Macaca mulatta: one gene and its partners. The protein of the gene in region 2 binds, or shares a complex with, the protein of the main gene of each other region. Links are inferred from orthologs where the notes say so. Each region holds a gene or a part of one and is shown on either strand. Other genes may lie near its edges.

The links.
Region 1: ZBP1 (region 2) and CASP8 share a complex: the UniProt entries of both Homo sapiens proteins name them as parts of the AIM2 PANoptosome complex. The link is inferred for Macaca mulatta from reciprocal best matches to the Homo sapiens genes ZBP1 and CASP8.
Region 3: ZBP1 (region 2) and MEFV share a complex: the UniProt entries of both Homo sapiens proteins name them as parts of the AIM2 PANoptosome complex. The link is inferred for Macaca mulatta from reciprocal best matches to the Homo sapiens genes ZBP1 and MEFV.
Region 4: ZBP1 (region 2) and AIM2 share a complex: the UniProt entries of both Homo sapiens proteins name them as parts of the AIM2 PANoptosome complex. The link is inferred for Macaca mulatta from reciprocal best matches to the Homo sapiens genes ZBP1 and AIM2.

The regions. Positions count from the first base shown.
Region 1 is NC_133417.1:106,371,407-106,375,715, reverse strand, and holds the start of CASP8 (caspase-8), read right to left. Parts: upstream 2,849-4,309; 5' UTR 2,518-2,848; coding exon 2,493-2,517; intron 307-2,492; exon of another isoform or gene 250-306; intron 1-249. UniProt on the Homo sapiens protein: Thiol protease that plays a key role in programmed cell death by acting as a molecular switch for apoptosis, necroptosis and pyroptosis, and is required to prevent tissue damage during embryonic development and adulthood.
Region 2 is NC_133415.1:110,416,298-110,419,859, forward strand, and holds part of ZBP1 (Z-DNA-binding protein 1), read right to left. Parts: exon of another isoform or gene 2,417-3,562; coding exon 2,192-2,416; intron 1,532-2,191; coding exon 1,463-1,531; intron 1,009-1,462; coding exon 835-1,008; intron 1-834.
Region 3 is NC_133425.1:4,489,994-4,494,334, forward strand, and holds the start of MEFV (pyrin), read right to left. Parts: upstream 2,845-4,341; 5' UTR 2,646-2,844; coding exon 2,369-2,645; intron 869-2,368; coding exon 221-868; intron 1-220. UniProt on the Homo sapiens protein: Involved in the regulation of innate immunity and the inflammatory response in response to IFNG/IFN-gamma.
Region 4 is NC_133406.1:107,851,359-107,854,920, reverse strand, and holds part of AIM2 (interferon-inducible protein AIM2), read right to left. Parts: intron 1,331-3,562; 5' UTR 1,311-1,330; coding exon 1,049-1,310; intron 1-1,048. UniProt on the Homo sapiens protein: Sensor component of the AIM2 inflammasome, which mediates inflammasome activation in response to the presence of double-stranded DNA (dsDNA) in the cytosol, leading to subsequent pyroptosis.

The DNA of each region.
Region 1 (4,309 bases), on a different chromosome or scaffold from region 2:
CCTAGCACTTAATCAGTCTAAGCCAGACTGGCCTCAAGATCTGGAAACTGCACGGCCCTCGGCAAGGCTCTCAGAGGGACTGCTACCTCTTCCACTAACTTCATGGTTTCCCATCCACACTCACATATGAGGATCACCTCCATAGCCCCAGGGCCACCCAACCTCACTCTCAGCAGCCTAAAAAACTCCAGAATCAAAGGCCTTCTCCCAAAAGGCCCCTCTGACCTTAACAAAGGGGCAAATCCTTACCTTACTCTCACGATGGTAACACCTTTGTTACAGGCCTCTCCACTGCCATCTGAGCATCTAAGACAAGAGCAAACATCTAATGAAGGATGAAGGGCACAGCCAGCTGTACTTCCTGTTTCGAAACTCCTAAGTCACAAACACTAGAGGGGAGGGAACGCTTACCACTTGCCCCTGAGTGAACAGAGCACCTTCTAAAGCTTCTAAAGCTGGAGGAAAAAGGCCTGATGGTCCAAGAGACTGCCTGCAGGGTGGGGCGGGGCATCTGGCCACCTGAGCACTGGCCCCTGGCTATGATGGGCCATTTTACCTTTGGGGCCTCATTTCCACATTCCAAAATGAGGACGTTGGACTGGATTGTAACTAAGAACACTTTCATTTCGTATTTAGGATTTAAAGATTTTTCTGGGTTCATCATTAAGACTTTAATTTTTTCATTCAATGAATCTTGATGGAGCACCTCGGAGAAGTCTTGAGATTGGACATCGCAGAGCCCTCATCTTGGTTCTCAGGGTGACTGTGAACGTTCAGAGCTAAAGCCCCTGGTTTAGCCAAGGAGCATCTCTGTGGCCCCAAGTCACCAGATTCCACTCTCAGCCGCCTAAAAAACTCTAAAAAAAAAAAAAAAAAAAAAAAAAAAAAAAAAAAAACTCTAAAAAAGAAAAAACTCTAAAATGAAAAACCTCTAAAAAGAAAAAAACTCTGAAATAAAAAAATTCTAAAATGAAAAAAATCTAAAAAGAAAAACCTCTAAAATGCAAAAACTCTTTGGTAAGATGGTAACCCTATCTTACCAAAGGTGATCCTTGTATATGAGTGTAGCTGGGGACACCACGAAGTTAGCCACAAGATGGGTTTACCATCTTATCAAAGAGGCAAATCCTGGGGCCCTCACCATGTTGGGCTCTAGGGACAGATCAGTAAACAAAAGATTGCCTTCATACTGAGAGTTAGACGAAATGTTTTCTGATGTTAAAAGTAGGAAAAGAAAATCAAGCACCTCTCTTCTTTGAAACTGCCTTTTGTCTTTCCCCAAATAGAATATAAGCTTTCAGAGGGCAGGGACTCATAGCTGAGAAGACTGAATGAAGTATCTGAAAAGGACTCTTCACCAGAGAGGGCTAGGTCAAGGTGGCCTGATAACATCAATGCCTGGATGGCCACAGTGGCTCATGCCTGTAATCCTAGCACTTTGGGAGGCCAAGGCGGGAGGATCCCTTGAGCGTAGGAGTTTGAGACCAGCCTGGGCAACATAGTGAGACACCATCTCTATGAAGAAAAATTTTTGAATTAGCCAGGTGTGGTAGCACACGACTGTGGTCCCAGTTAATCTGAAGGCTGAGATGGGAACATTGCTTGATCCCAAGATGTCGAGGCTACAGTGAGCCATGATTGCACCACTGCACTCCAGCCTTGGGTGACAAAGCAAGATCTTGTCTCAAAAAATAAATAAATAAAAAAGAAATAGAAACAGAATGAGTAAAATAAAATGCCAATAGTATTAATATGCAATAATAATTGCTAACTCATGTAGTAAGTGATGTGTGCGTATTATCTCCTTCAAGCCTCACAGTCACCTCTCAAGGCATTATTAATCCCATTTAACAATGAGATAACAGAGGTACAGAGGAATTACTTACTTGCCTGAGATGGCATAGTTAAAAAACAGTGTACATATACAAAAGAAAAATACATTTTGCAAAGATACAGATAAATTCACGAATCCACATCAAAACATTAGAGAATTATCTTTGGGGAGCAAGAGAGAGGGCAGGAGGGCAGGGGTGGGGGTGGAGACATAAAAGGAAACCCTTAAGACACGGAAGAGGGGTAAGCGGTCTGTGCACCTCAGGGCACTGTGATTCGACAGAATAAAGAACTTAACCCTCGGCCCCAGAGCCAAATGAAAAAGAAAAAAAAAGTGGATTGATAAAGTTTTCTGGACTCTCCAAACGGGTTCACAGGAGGGAGACCGTGTATCTGTATTCCAGGCAGTAGGGAAGCTGGGAGGACAAAAAGGCAGCAGAGGAAATGGAGACTGCTCAGAGTGAAAAAGTAGCAAGATCAGAGGCAACAGCTCAGAGAGAAACCCCACAGGAGACCTGGCCAGGCAGCACCCAGAGGTGTCCTCAGCCGGGCAGATCCAAGCTTCTTCCCCGCCCCCACAGCCCTGTTTCTAGAGCAACTCAAGAAACAAAAATATGTGGTTTCCTGTTGAAGAGGCCACCTCGGCAACAGGCACTCACCCGCTCCACCCTTTCCTGGCACCATCGCAGTCTCTGAGCCCCCTAACCTGCCTAACTCCACGTGCTCAGTGGGGAAGGGGGTGGGACAGGCTCCCAGGAAGAAGTTTCTTTTACTTTCAGTAACCACCCTGGCTCTTCTGCCTCCCTCCACCGCCTCACTTCCTGTTGAGTTGACTAGCAAATTCAGGAGGCTTGAAAAAAAAACACAAGAGATAAAAGGAGGAGAACCTGTGAAAACACTTCCCTCCAGCAGAAGGGCAGAACCTGGTCTCCAAGAGAAAGAGAAAACTTCACAGCAGAATGAACTGCAGGGTAAATTTTACTCCTAAAGCAGAACAGAGATGACTCACCCGAACAAGAAATGTTTCCTATTTAAAGGAACAGATGCCCAATTTCCAACCATTCAGAAGAGGGAGGTGGCAGACATTTCATGGACATGCAAAACTAAAACCCCGAGCGCTGGACGTGCTTTATTGGAAAGCATTTATACTGACTCCATTTAGTAATCATAACCCCTGTCGGTGACAAGTAATATGCCATTCTTCCTTGCAAAGGGTCTGGGAAGAGGAAGTTTCCCTCTGCCTTGATCCAAACCTCAGCACTGAAGTCATAGACCAGCCCTCTCCTCCCTCCCTACGGACTGGGTGAAGCCACCCCTGTAGCTGAAATGTAGGTAGACTGTTCACAAAAAAAGGAGGAAGTGTTCTGACTCAGCCCTACTTGGCTCAGCCCTAAACAGAGCTAAACAGCCCTAAATAGGGCTGAGCCAGGACACTTCAGTTCCCTTCTTTGGCCATGTTCTCCAGTTTAGTTGTAACCCGTGTCTTTGTAGCATTGATCCTGGAGTGTTGGTGCTACTGAGGTCTGTTCCCCAAAGCTCTGAACCCCAGACCCTCCCTTGTTCTCTTTTTTTTTTTTTTTTTTTTTTTTTTGAGATGGAGTCTCAGTCTGTTGTCCGTGTAACAGTACAGTGGTGCGGTCTTGGCTCACTGCAACCTCCACCTCCTGGGTTGAAGTGATTCTCCTGCCTCTCAGCCTCCCAAGTAGCTGGGACTACAGGCACCCACCACCACGCCTGGCTAATTTTTGTATTTTCAGTAGAGACGGGTTTTCACCATGTTGGTCAGACTGGTCTCGAACTCCTGACCTCAAGGAATTCACCCACCTTGGCCTCCCAAAGTGCTAGGATTAGAGGCATGAGCCACCGTGCCCAGCCACTCCCCTGTTCTCTGCCATCCGCCTCTGTTTCCCATGTGAATTTTTTTTTTCTTTTTTTTGGGATGGATTTTCGCTCTTGTTACCCAGGCTGGAGTGCAATGGCGCCATCTCGGCTCACAGCAACCTCCGCCTCCCGGGTTCAAGTGATTCTCCTGCCTCAGCCTCCTGGGTAGCTGGGATTACAGGCATGCACCACCATGCGTGGCTAATTTTGGATTTTTAGTAGAGACAGGGTTTCTCCATGTTGGTCAGGCTGGTCTCAAACTCATAACCTCAGGTGATCCACCCACCTCGGCCTCCCAAAGTTCTGGGATTACAGGTGTGAGCCACTACACCCAGCCATGAATTTTTAAAAAGGGTTTTCTGCCCTTTTGCTTGCACATCTTGTACATTTTATAACCAGAACACCAGAAGTAACATATTACCTGTATGTTACACCTTGACATGAACTATCTCTAATTCTTGCAGCAATTCAGGGTATTGTTCTCCCATGTTATGGATGAAGAAACTAAGGCTCAAACAGTTCCATGGAGTCAAACTCAGTCCTGCTGGGCCAAAACAGAGATTTTTCTATGACACACTAACTCCCTTTCTCCAAC
Region 2 (3,562 bases):
ATTTAATTTAATTTTCTTTTGAGACAGAGTTTCACTTTTGTTGCCCAGGCTGGAGTGCAGTGGTGTGATCTCAGCTCACTGCAACCTCTGCCTCCCAGGTTCAAGCTATTCTCCTACCTCAGCCTCCCGAGTAGCTGGGATTACAGGCGCCGGCCACCAGGCCTGGCTAATTTTTGTATTTTTAGTAGAGACAGGGGGTTGCCATGTTGGCCAGGCTGACCTCAGGTGATCCGCCTGCCTCAGCCTCCCAAAGTGCTAGGATTACCGGCATGAGCGACCACGCCTGGTCCATTTTTAGATATTCATTATTATTATAGTATTCATTTCTTCTGATTTTAAATGAAATTAAAATTAAAACATTTTCAAGGACCCGTAAGAGTGCCATGGGCCTGTTGGATCTTGGCCCTGCGCCTATTAGATCTCACAGGGAAGACGACCCTGGGGCTCCACCCAGTAGGGGTCTGAGCCTAGTCTTGCCTTCTCTTCTGCCAACTTTAAAACCCCAACTTGGGCAAAGTGCTCAAAGAAAACTATTCCCAAACCCAGACTGATACCTGCACCTCAGAGCTGAGAACATTGGGAATGGGCCACCTCCATCCCATTCGCTGGCCTTCTGCAACTGCAGCCCTTGGGCCACGACTCCAGGAAGCTGTTCCTGGTTAATCCTGCCAGCACACCCCTTCCTCCTGGAAGCCCTTGCAGTGAACTGTCAGTGGGACCTCCAGAAGCTTCTGGCAGTTTCTGGTGAGCTTCTCAGCAGAGCACCCAGCAAAGACCAAGCGCTAGTGTCATGGTTTCCCTCTGCAGCCCAGGTGCAGGCAGCTGGGGGCCTACCTGGGCAGTAAATCGTCCACACTTTGGACTGCTCATCCACGTCCAGAAGGTGCCTGCTCTTCATCCTGTACAAGTCTGGGTTCACATCTTTTGCTGTCCTCATTCCCAGTGCCTGGGCGATGACCAGGGCCCTCTGGGGACCATTGTCTTTGAGAAACCTGTAGATGTCTTCCTCTGGGAGGCAGGACGGCCACGTGGTTAGAGAGGAGTCCTAGAATTTGCATCTGCCTCACCCACCGCTTTCTAGCTGTGTGGCCCTGGACCCAGCCCCTCGAGGCCTGGTTTCCTCATCTGTAAAATGGGCACCACGATAACGGGGTCATGATGACGCACCGCAGAGGTGCCCTGAGGATGGGGGATGTGCACGCAGTGCTCTGCCCTGGGCCTGGCACATGGTGGGTGCATGGTGAGGGTCAGCTATTGTCTGACTGGAGAAATCACTGCTCGACATTCAGATTCTCCCGCTGTCAGGGCTGGGTCTTGGCTCTGAACACTGTTTGGGAGCCACCTGGTGGGTGGGACAGGGCCCCTGAACACTGGTGAGATCTCGTACCCTCAAGGAGGGCCTGGGGTTCCTGAGGAGTGGGATCCTGTGTCCCGGGAGCTGAAGGGGCATGCAATGACTTACCCCGCTGTTGGCTGAACTGAGGGCTAGGGGTCTCTGGAACTGTAGCTACACATTGCTGGGGCCTCTCGGCTGGAGAAAGAAAGACGGGTCAGAGGGGTGGGGGACAGAAAACAGCACCAGGGCTCCACCCCACAAAGGTGGGCAGCACCCTAGGGTGAGCTGCAACGCCGGTAGTTGCAAACTCAGACTCCAGAGTTAAACACACTTGACATCAAGTCCTGCCTGTGCCCTGGCAGCTGCGGCTTCCTGCTGGTTTACTTCTCCGGGGCTCAGCCTGCTTTGCCTCCTGGGGTTGTGTGAGGGCTGGGTGAACCCTGAAACAGTGCCCAGCTAATCTTAAGTGCATGACAAATGGCAGCTCTTTCTGGCTGTGGGCTGTAAAGCTAGAAAAGGGGGGCTGGTGGGACTGAGTGTGTTCTGTGATTAGGACCATCATGTCATTGCTGTTTCCATCATGATGATTTTCTGTTATAATTGTTAGTGTTCCGCTGAGTACTTTCTGTGTGCAGGGCTGGGCTGAGCCTGATGCAAGGCCTTCTCTCAGCAACCCCTACCAAGCAGCCCTGCTGTCAGCTCCATCAACCAGAAAAAGAAACCAAGGCACAGAGATGAAACCCATGAGCTCCCAAGTGGCAGAACTCAGATTCGAACCCAGGCTCAAATCTGTGCTTGTCCATTGCCAGGATGGTCCCTGCCTGGTCAGACCCACCTCCCCAGGGTGGCAGTTACCAGGGCTGGACAGGGCCAGCTCTGCAGGACCCTCGCCTCCAGGACCAGTCCCGCCCAAGCGCCAGGTGGCGGGGGCTGTGAGGGAGACTTTCAGCTCCTTTAGCATTCGGTAGAGGACTTGGTTGAGCTCCCTCTTGGGTGCTTGGCATTCCTTCACCAGCTGGGCAAGCTTCACTGGGGAGCCAGCCTCTGTCAGCACCTGCAGGATCCTCTGTTCAAGGTGGCCTGGGGGAGTGAGCGGGGGACAGAGATAGGGACTGAGTCTCCCGGGTCCCCACAGATGAGCCCAGGCTGGAGGCTCCAAGAGGCACGTGAGGCCCCTTTTTGAGAGGTGTCCAGGGCAGAGGAGAGGGCAAAGACCCCAGCAGATGCCCCCTAAGAGCAGCAGAGCAGCTGCCCCTGCCCAGAGAGAGGCATGCAGGCTGATCAGAAATGGCCTGGCAGCCAGAGGAGGTGCCGCCTCGCCTGTGCCCTCCCCGGGTGTGGGTGCCAGGGGGCAGTGGGGTTCCTCAGCTCTCAGGTGTCCTCAGGGCAGAGGGGAGTAGAGGGCAGAAGGACGGAGCCAGAGGGAGGCAGGGGGACCTGAGAGCACAAAGGCAAGTCCTGCCTGGGTGTACCTGATGCCCATTGCCATCCTCCCTGGGAATCAATCGCCTCTTCTCAGCTCACCATCCTTCCATGGTGCCACTATCCATCGAAGCCAGAAACCGACCAGACATCAGAAACAGACCTTTCCCCCAGTGCCCAGTCGTGGAGCCCTGGAAATGCCATTCTTGGATTTTCTGGAATTGCCCCACTCCTCTCTTCTGCCGGCACCACCCGCTTCCTCACCACCATCTCCTGGGTGCAGCAATAGGCTCCCGGTTGGCCCACCAGCTCCAGTCGGGTACCCTCCAGATCTGGCTCTGCCGACCACCCAGCTTGACCTGCACCTGCTCCCAACTTCCCTCCAAGTGCTGGCCTGTTTGTGCTCCCTTTAGCCCCACTCACCCCAGCCCCTTTGCACACACTGTTCCGGCTGCCAGGAACACCCTTCCCCCACATCCCAACCTGTATGATGTCTACTCAACCTCCAGCCTCCTCACATGCCACTTCCTTGGGGAAGCCTGTCCCTGTGTTCCAGAGTGGCTGGGATCTGCTTGTGTGTGGGTCCCCTCGTGTCCCCTGCTGTACTTGCGTGGCTCACTGTTGTACCGTCAGCATGTAGCACAGTGCTGGGCACACAGGACGTGCTCAGGAAATGGCAGTTGAATGTATGAGTGACTGAGTGAATGAATGAATGAATGAATGGGACCAGGAGTGGTGGCTCACACTTGTAATCCTAGCATGTCAGGAGGCTGAGATTGGAGGACCCCTAGAGGCCAAGAGTTC
Region 3 (4,341 bases), on a different chromosome or scaffold from region 2:
TATGGCGCCCTGTCCAACCTTTGGGTTTTTATTTTTTTAATTTTATTTATAGACATGGCGGGGGTCTCACTATGTTCACCAGACTGGTCTCAAACTCTTGGCCTCAGCAATCCTCCAGCCCTGGCCTCCCAAAGTGCCGGGATTACAGGCATGAGCTATCGTGCCCCGCCAGCTGTTCTTTCTTTGCAGCCGATATAAAGTAGGAAAAAACACAATTTACCGGTGACCGAATGTTCTGGATTCCCAGGGCCTTTCTCCAGGTCCGCAGACGCCCCTCCATCCGGAGTGGGCCTTGCCTGAGCGCCTGTTGCCGAGTCCGGATTCGCAGCTGTCGTTTCCTCTACAGTCAGGAGAGTTTCTGGATTTGGGGGCGCCTTCTCCCCTGTGGAAATGGTGAACTCAAGGCTTTTAGGCCGCTTCTTTCCCGAGGGCAGGTACACTTCGAAGAGCCTGCACTCCTTCCGCCCTGGCGCGCCCCCCGCCAGCCCCTGCAGCCTCCCCGCGGAGCTGGCGTTCCTGCGCAGGAGGACCTCGGCCTGGCCTGGCTCTGGCGCCCTGCAGGGGCTGGGGCCGGGGCTTCTCCCGCCCGGCAGGGCCGGGCTCCGGGTTCGAGGCTTGCCCTGCACGTCCAGGCTCTCCGAGGCCTTCTCTCTGCGTTTGCTCAAGGGCTTCCTTGACAGCCCCCTCCCGGCCTCGGGCTGGCTGTACCGCAGGCTGGCAGCCCAGTCCCCGCACGACCGAGGGCCGTTCCCCTCCTTTCCCTCCTTCCCCTCGGGGTGGTCTGGAGTCTTCAGGCTCCCGGGCTTGTTCTCCTCCAGGGAGCTGGACGCTGCGGAATCGTCTGTGCCATTTTCTTGTGTGGAATATTCTGGAAAGACAACCAGCTACAAAGTCATGAAGCTGTCCCACGTTTAGGGCCCAAGATTCAGGGGAGAGGAGAGAGAATCCCCATGGATATTAAACTTTAGAAATGGAGGAAAAAACGGGCCGGGCACGGTGGCTCATGCCTGTATTCCCAGCACTCTGGGAGGTTGAGGCGGGAGGATCACCTGAGGTCAGGAGTTCAAGACCAGCAGGGTGAAACCCTGTCTCTACTAAAAATACAAAAATAAGCTGAGCGTGGTGGCATATGCCTGTAATCCTAGCTTCTCGGGAGGCCAAGTTGGGAGGATCATTTGAGGTCAGGAGTTCGAGACCAGCCTGGCCAACATGGCAAAACCACGTTCCTACTAAAAATACGAAATTTAGCCAGACGTGGTGGTGTGCACCTGTAGTCCCAGCTACTCTGGAGGCTGAGGCATGAGAATCGCTTGAGCCTGGGATGTGGAGGTTGCAGTGAGCTGAGATTGCCCCACTGCTCTCCAGCCTGAGTGACAAAGCGAGACTCCATTTCAAAAACAAAAGTTCAGGACTTCCTAGACAACGGCAGTCAATTACCATTCAGTAAGAACATGCTTGATGTTGCTACATATTTATCTCTCTCTTATTTTATTTTTTGAGACCGGATCTTGTTCTGTGGCCCTGATGTGATCTCGGCTCACTGCAACCTCTGCCTCCCAGGCTCAAGCGATCCTCTCACATCAGCCTGTTTTCTGTTTTTTCAATAGCTGAGAATACAGGTGTGTGCCACCACACCTGGCTCTTTTTTTTGTATTTTTGGTAGAGACAGGGTTTCACCATGTTGGCCAGGCTGGTCTCGAACTCCTGAGCTCTAGCAATCTACCCACTTTAGCCTCCCAGAGTGCTGAGATTATAAGTGTGAGCCACCATGTATTCCTCAAATAGTACTTTTCAAACGTTGTAAGCAGGACAACTGTTTCAAATAAGATCTTACACAGGTCAGCAAAACCCAGATTATACATTTCAAAAATAAAAATAAACCAGGCACGGTGGTCCATGCCTGAAATCCCAGCACTTTGGGAGGCTGAGGCGGGAGGATCACTTGAGGTCGGGAGTTTGAGACCAGCCTGGCCAACATGGTGAACAGCACTGAAAAGATTCTATACCAGCCCCGTTCATACGATTGCATAGCAATCCCTTTTTGCTAACCTAGAGATGTTTGTCTGACATGAGTATTAATCATAAATGAAGTGAAGAAGTCTCAAAGAATAGGTGCTCCAGCTCCTGCCTTTCCTGACCCTGACCTGCTTCTTTAAAACCCATTGGGAGCCTTAAGGAAGTTTACTAACCCAGTGCCAAAAGCCAGAGTGAAGGAAGGGACGTTCCTGAACTAAAGTCACCTGGATCTTGGTAGACCTGAGACTCCCGACCCCCAAGTCAGAGTGAGCTGCTCTGAGCTCCTGGTCCCTTTTCCCACAAAGCAACCAGGCCTCAGTGCTGGGTGAGGAGGCAGCCTGGGCCCGCTTACCCTGAACGGCTGCCCTGTGGAGCTCCTCAGCCAGCAGGCGCTGGTTGATGGCCCGCAGGACCTGCAGGGTTAGCCGCACAGCGTACTCTTCCCCGTAGTAGGTGACCAGCAGACTGGCCATCTTCACTGGCCTGGCTCTCTGGATCTGGCTCCGGGGGATCCTGGAGTGCTCCTTCTCCACACTGGTGTTCTGCAGCTTGAACTTGAACTTCTCAAAGTCATAGGGCACCAGCTCCTCCAGGGTGGACAGCAGATGGTCACTAGGGGTCTTGGCCATGGCGCTGAGCAGGAGACGCTGGAGCTAGCTGTCTGGCTTCTGGCAGGAGAAGAAGCCTCTACCTTGGTGAGCAAGAAAAAGCAGGTTGTGAAATAGCGGAAAAGGCACAGGAAATGCTCTGTGTCTTGGTGGGAACTGAGACTAAGGGTAAGGGTGTGTCCATGCTGGCTGTGTTCTCTTCTCACAGGTTCAGAGGATTTTCCAGCTGGGAGGGCTCAGTGCCTTGGCAGACATCTGTCCCCACACCCCTCCCAAACCCTGGACCTCATCTCCACACTAGACCACAGACAGGTGGGCAAGTCTGCAAGGGAAGGTCTAGGATTGGATTCCAGACAACCCCTCCAATCTCCCTTCCTGCCAGGATCTGGGGCTGGCAGAGCGGGTGAATGGGAACAGAGAGGACTATGCTGAGGGCCAGCCCTGCTGGTCAACTGTTCTCCTCCAGACTCAGGGTTTCACAGACCCTCCAGAGCCAATGGCATGGGATGGGGGAAGGGGTGGGCAGTAAATACAGCCCCGTGAGCTTTGCCTTTCCTGGCCCAAGAAGGCAAGTGAGGCCAGAAGGGCACTGCCGGGGGATAACTCTTGCCACGCCATCACCCCTGTTGATCCAGTTCCAGTTGTCTGGTTCTTCCAGCCACATGAAGGGCTTGAAAAGCAATGCCTCGACCACCAGCCTGACTCATCTGTTCCCAGAGCTGACTCAGTTCTCACTCCCTGGAGCCAGAATGCCCTTCCGTGCACATTCACTGAACATTCTAGACAGTGTGCCAGGATGCTGGAGCTACAGGGGTGAAAAGGCACGGGTGTCCTTCAGCTCATAGTCTGGTGCAGGGCCCCAGAGGTGGCTTTGAAGCTAACAGAAGTTACATGTCGGGGGCTGGACGTGGTGGCTCACGCCTGTAATCCCAGCACTTTGGGAGGCCAAGGTGAGTGGATCACCTCAGGTTGGGAGTTCAAGACCAGCCTGGCCAACATAGTAAAACCCCATCTCTACTAAAAATACAAAAATTAGCCAGGCATGGTGGCACGCGCCTGTATTCCCAGCTACTCGGGAAGCTGAGGCAGGAGAATCGCTTAAACGCGGGAGGCGGATGTTGCAGTGAGCCGAGATTGTGCCATTGTACTCCAGCCTGGGCGACAGAGCAGGACTTTGTCTCAAAAAAATAAAAAATTACTTGCATACCCTAATTTTTTAATTTTTTGTTTTTAGATAGGGTCTTGCTCAGTCACTCAGGCTGCAGTGCAGTGGCAGGATCTTGGCTCAATGCAACTTCTGCCTCCTGGGCTTGAGCAACCCTCCAACCTCAGCCTCCCAAGTCGCTGGGACTACAGCTGCATGCCACCACATCCGGCTAATTTTTGTATTTTTTTATAGAGACAGGGTCTCACTATGTTGCACAGGCTGGTCTTGAACTCCTGAGCTCAAGCGATCCACTCGCTTTGGCCTCCCAAAGTGCTGGGATTACAGGTGTGTAATCCCTGTAATCTGGCCACTGTGCCCGTCCAGAAGTTTTGTTAATAATGCAGTTTACCCTTCACCAGCACTTCCTCTGCACCAGCCACCACTTGCTTTATAAACACTACCTCCTAGAATCTCTAGGACTGTACCCTGCAGGACTGCATTTATCATCCTCCTCTGCAGCCAAGAATCTGTAGCTTAGTGACTTGCCCAGAGCCAGGATCCAAACATCAA
Region 4 (3,562 bases), on a different chromosome or scaffold from region 2:
TTAAAGAACTACACCTTCTAACTTAAAGCCTGGGAAAACAACCACTCCTTTCTCATTAGTGCCTTAGAAACTACCTCACAGTTTACATCTGTATAGAATTATGGACCTACATAGTATCACTTATGTGGCTTCATTTAACCTTCTTATAAACCATGTGTGAGAAGCCATGTCACCGTGTTGTACACCCACAAATGCTATTAAAAGCTGTTGTAATCTTTGCTGTTACGGTTTTACTTTGAATCCTAAAACTGTTGCATTTGGAGACTCTCATTTGGGACAGTCCTGGAGTGATATGCTCCTTTGTTAGCTCTTTTTTGTTCTTCAGACATGAAGCCGGGACGTATCAATTGTTCTTGGTAAACAAAATCAGGAATTTAAACTAAATGTATATAATTCAGATGGAGATGATGAGTGATTTATTGAATAATGTTAAAAAAGTCTTTTTGCTGTGGGTAATTTATACTGTCACTGGAGATAGAGAGGAGAGAGAATCCCTGAAGGAGGATTCTCCCTCCCTGAAGAAGGAGGAGATCATCCCCTAAAGAAAGCAGCATAGTCTGGGACCATAGAAAGATAGGGACATGGAGAGAAATAAACAGACTGTGTGAAGGAAAAAAAGGTGCTCAATATCCTGGTTTACAATTTTCCAATGCAATAATTTATATTTTTGAGACTTCAGTAGAATGTGAGAGCATTACATACTGTGGAAATGGAGTTGGGAAAAGTTAACTTTGAAATTCTACATCCATATTCACTGTAATTGAACTGGAGACAAAGATGGGCAAGGAGAAAAGATGATAAATGGAAGTGGTCACCCTAAAGGCTGGAACAAGAGATGCAAACCAAGGCTGGAATGGATTTGTGGAATTTGTAACAAACACTTCCTACAAGTGATTCTCAGTAAAAGGGGGCAAAGAGACAGGTGCACTAAGTTAGCAAACAAATTCCAACAGTGTGCACTGGGGGTCATATCCCAGGGACGCCATGAAAGGAAAGGCCCAGGCTTGGCAGAGAAAGGGACTGGGCAGGTGCGGGACTACCACATTACCTTTCTCCTTCTCTTCCTGAAGACGTTTTGCCAAAAGCATATAATTCAACTTCTGAAAAATAAGAATGGTCTTCTTCACTGCAGTCACTGCACCAGCATTTTGAATCATCAAGTTAGCTACTTGTATTCTGTTTGCAGTACGTAGTTTGCCTGTGGCGACATTAAACTCGTCTGAAAGAAAGAACTTAAACCTATCCAGTTCCTCATCAGTGATGTTATCCAGGCCTGTTAGCAAGAGTATCTCCTTGTATTTACTCTCCATCTGACGACTTTGGGATCAACCTATAAGGAATCCAAAGCATGTAAGATTACAACACCAAAAGGGATTCTACATTCAAAATAAAGCAAGGTGAGCTATTAATATTTTTAAAGAAAAATAAACAAAATGTTTGCAGTAGTAAAAGAGATTTGAATGGGACATAGGTAAGAACTTCTTAAGCAAGGTGATCCCTATTCCTGGGAAAGACATCTTCAGAAAGTATACAACACCTCTGGAATTCTTAGAAAACAGGATACATCAGCTGGGCATGGTAGCTCACGCCTGTAATCCCAGCACTTTGGAAGGCCAAAGCGGGCGGATCACCTGAGGTCAGGAGTTTGAGACCAGCCTGGCCAATATGGCAAAACCCCATCTCTACTAAAAATACAAAAATTAGCCGGGCGTGGTGGTGGGGGCCTGTAATCCCAACTACTCAGGAGGCTGAGGCAGGAGAATCACTTGAACCAGGGGGCGGAGGTCACAGTGAGCCAAGATCGCGCCATTGCACTCCAGCTTGGGCGACAAGAGCAAAACTTTGTCTCAAAACAAACAAACAAACAAACAAAAAAAAAAAACACTACAACAAAAAGGAAACAGGATACATTTTCCTTTTATTTTTAAAATAGATTTATCGAGGCATAACTGGCATACAACACAGTGCATATATTGGAAGTATACAATCTGATAAATTTTGGCATATACATATACCTGATGAAGTGCAATTAATCAATTTGTTCTTTCATGGATCATGCTTTCACTGTCTTATTTAAGAAATCTTTTCCAATCTCAAGATGAGAAGATTTTATGTTTTCCTCTAAAAATATTATGGTTTAATCATTTTATTTGGGTGTATGTACCGTTTTGAGTTATTTTGTATATAGTATAAGCAATGACTCAAAGTTCATTTATTTTTCATATGAATATGAAATTTCCCAGAACCGTATATTAAAAAGACTATCCTTTTTAACGATTTTTTTTACCTTTGCAAAAATCAGTTGTCCAAATATGAGTGAGTCTATTTCTGGATTCTTTATTCTGTCCATCAACCTATTTTTGTATCTTGTTGCCAAAATCACATTGTAGTAATATAGTTGTTTATGTATAGTATCCAAAATAATACACAAAACATTATAAATAATAATTCAAAAGTTTGTAACTATAAGATTAATATGCAGAAATGCATTCCTTTATTCTAGCACCACTCCAAGAGTGAAAAAAATCACGTAAAAAAGTAATTTCCAATAGCAACAAAACTACAAAGTACATAAGAACATCTAATACAATATATTTAAGAGTTTTAAAGGGAACCTTATAAAACTTCATTGGGAGATTTAAAAGACCTACTTAAGTGGGTGTATGTGTGATATTTTAAATGGGAAAACTTGATAAAATGAAGACAGCAATGTTGTCAAATTAATCTATAAACTCCCATCCAAAATCTCAAAGGGTTTTTCATAGAACTTATCAGAATGATATTAAAACCTAAATGAAAAAAATAAAGACAAAAACCTGCAAAACATGTTGAATTGTTTATTAGGATGTAGTATCCCTACTACTAGGTATCAATACTTACTACAAATGTATAATAATTAAATCGATATGGCAGTTGCATAGAGAAAAATGAACTAATAAATAGAGTGTGGAAACAGGACCACATGTAAGTTAAAGCATGGTACATAATCAAAGTGGCGTTAAAAATCACAAGGAAAGAATGGCCAACTATAAAAAGTATTCAGTCAAATGATAATATTCGGGGAATGATATATTTGGCCTTTCTCTTATATCATACACAAATATATATCTGGCTGGATTAATTATCTAAACAGAATAGTAATGATGTTGAATAAAACACAGAATTTCTCAATACATTGAAGTAGAAGGAGGTTTCTTAAACAAGGCACAAAAAGGACAAGCCAGAAAAAAAAACAAACTTTGTCAAATGTGATTGCATGCATATTCTTAATTTCTTTGTAGGAAACACACACACACGTGCACACACACACACTAAACAAAGTGTTTATATAAGGCAAAAACTGGGCAGATACCTGAAATATACATATATATATATATAGCTAATAGAAGTTTTGCTTTTGGAATACATGGAGAACCATGTATCACTAAGAAAACAATAAACAGTCTATTTGAAAAGTGTGCAAAAGATGTGAATGAGCAATTTGCTCAAGTATCCAATAAACATAAAAAAGATGTTTGACATTATTAGCAATTAATGACTTCCAGAGCAGCAACATATAAAG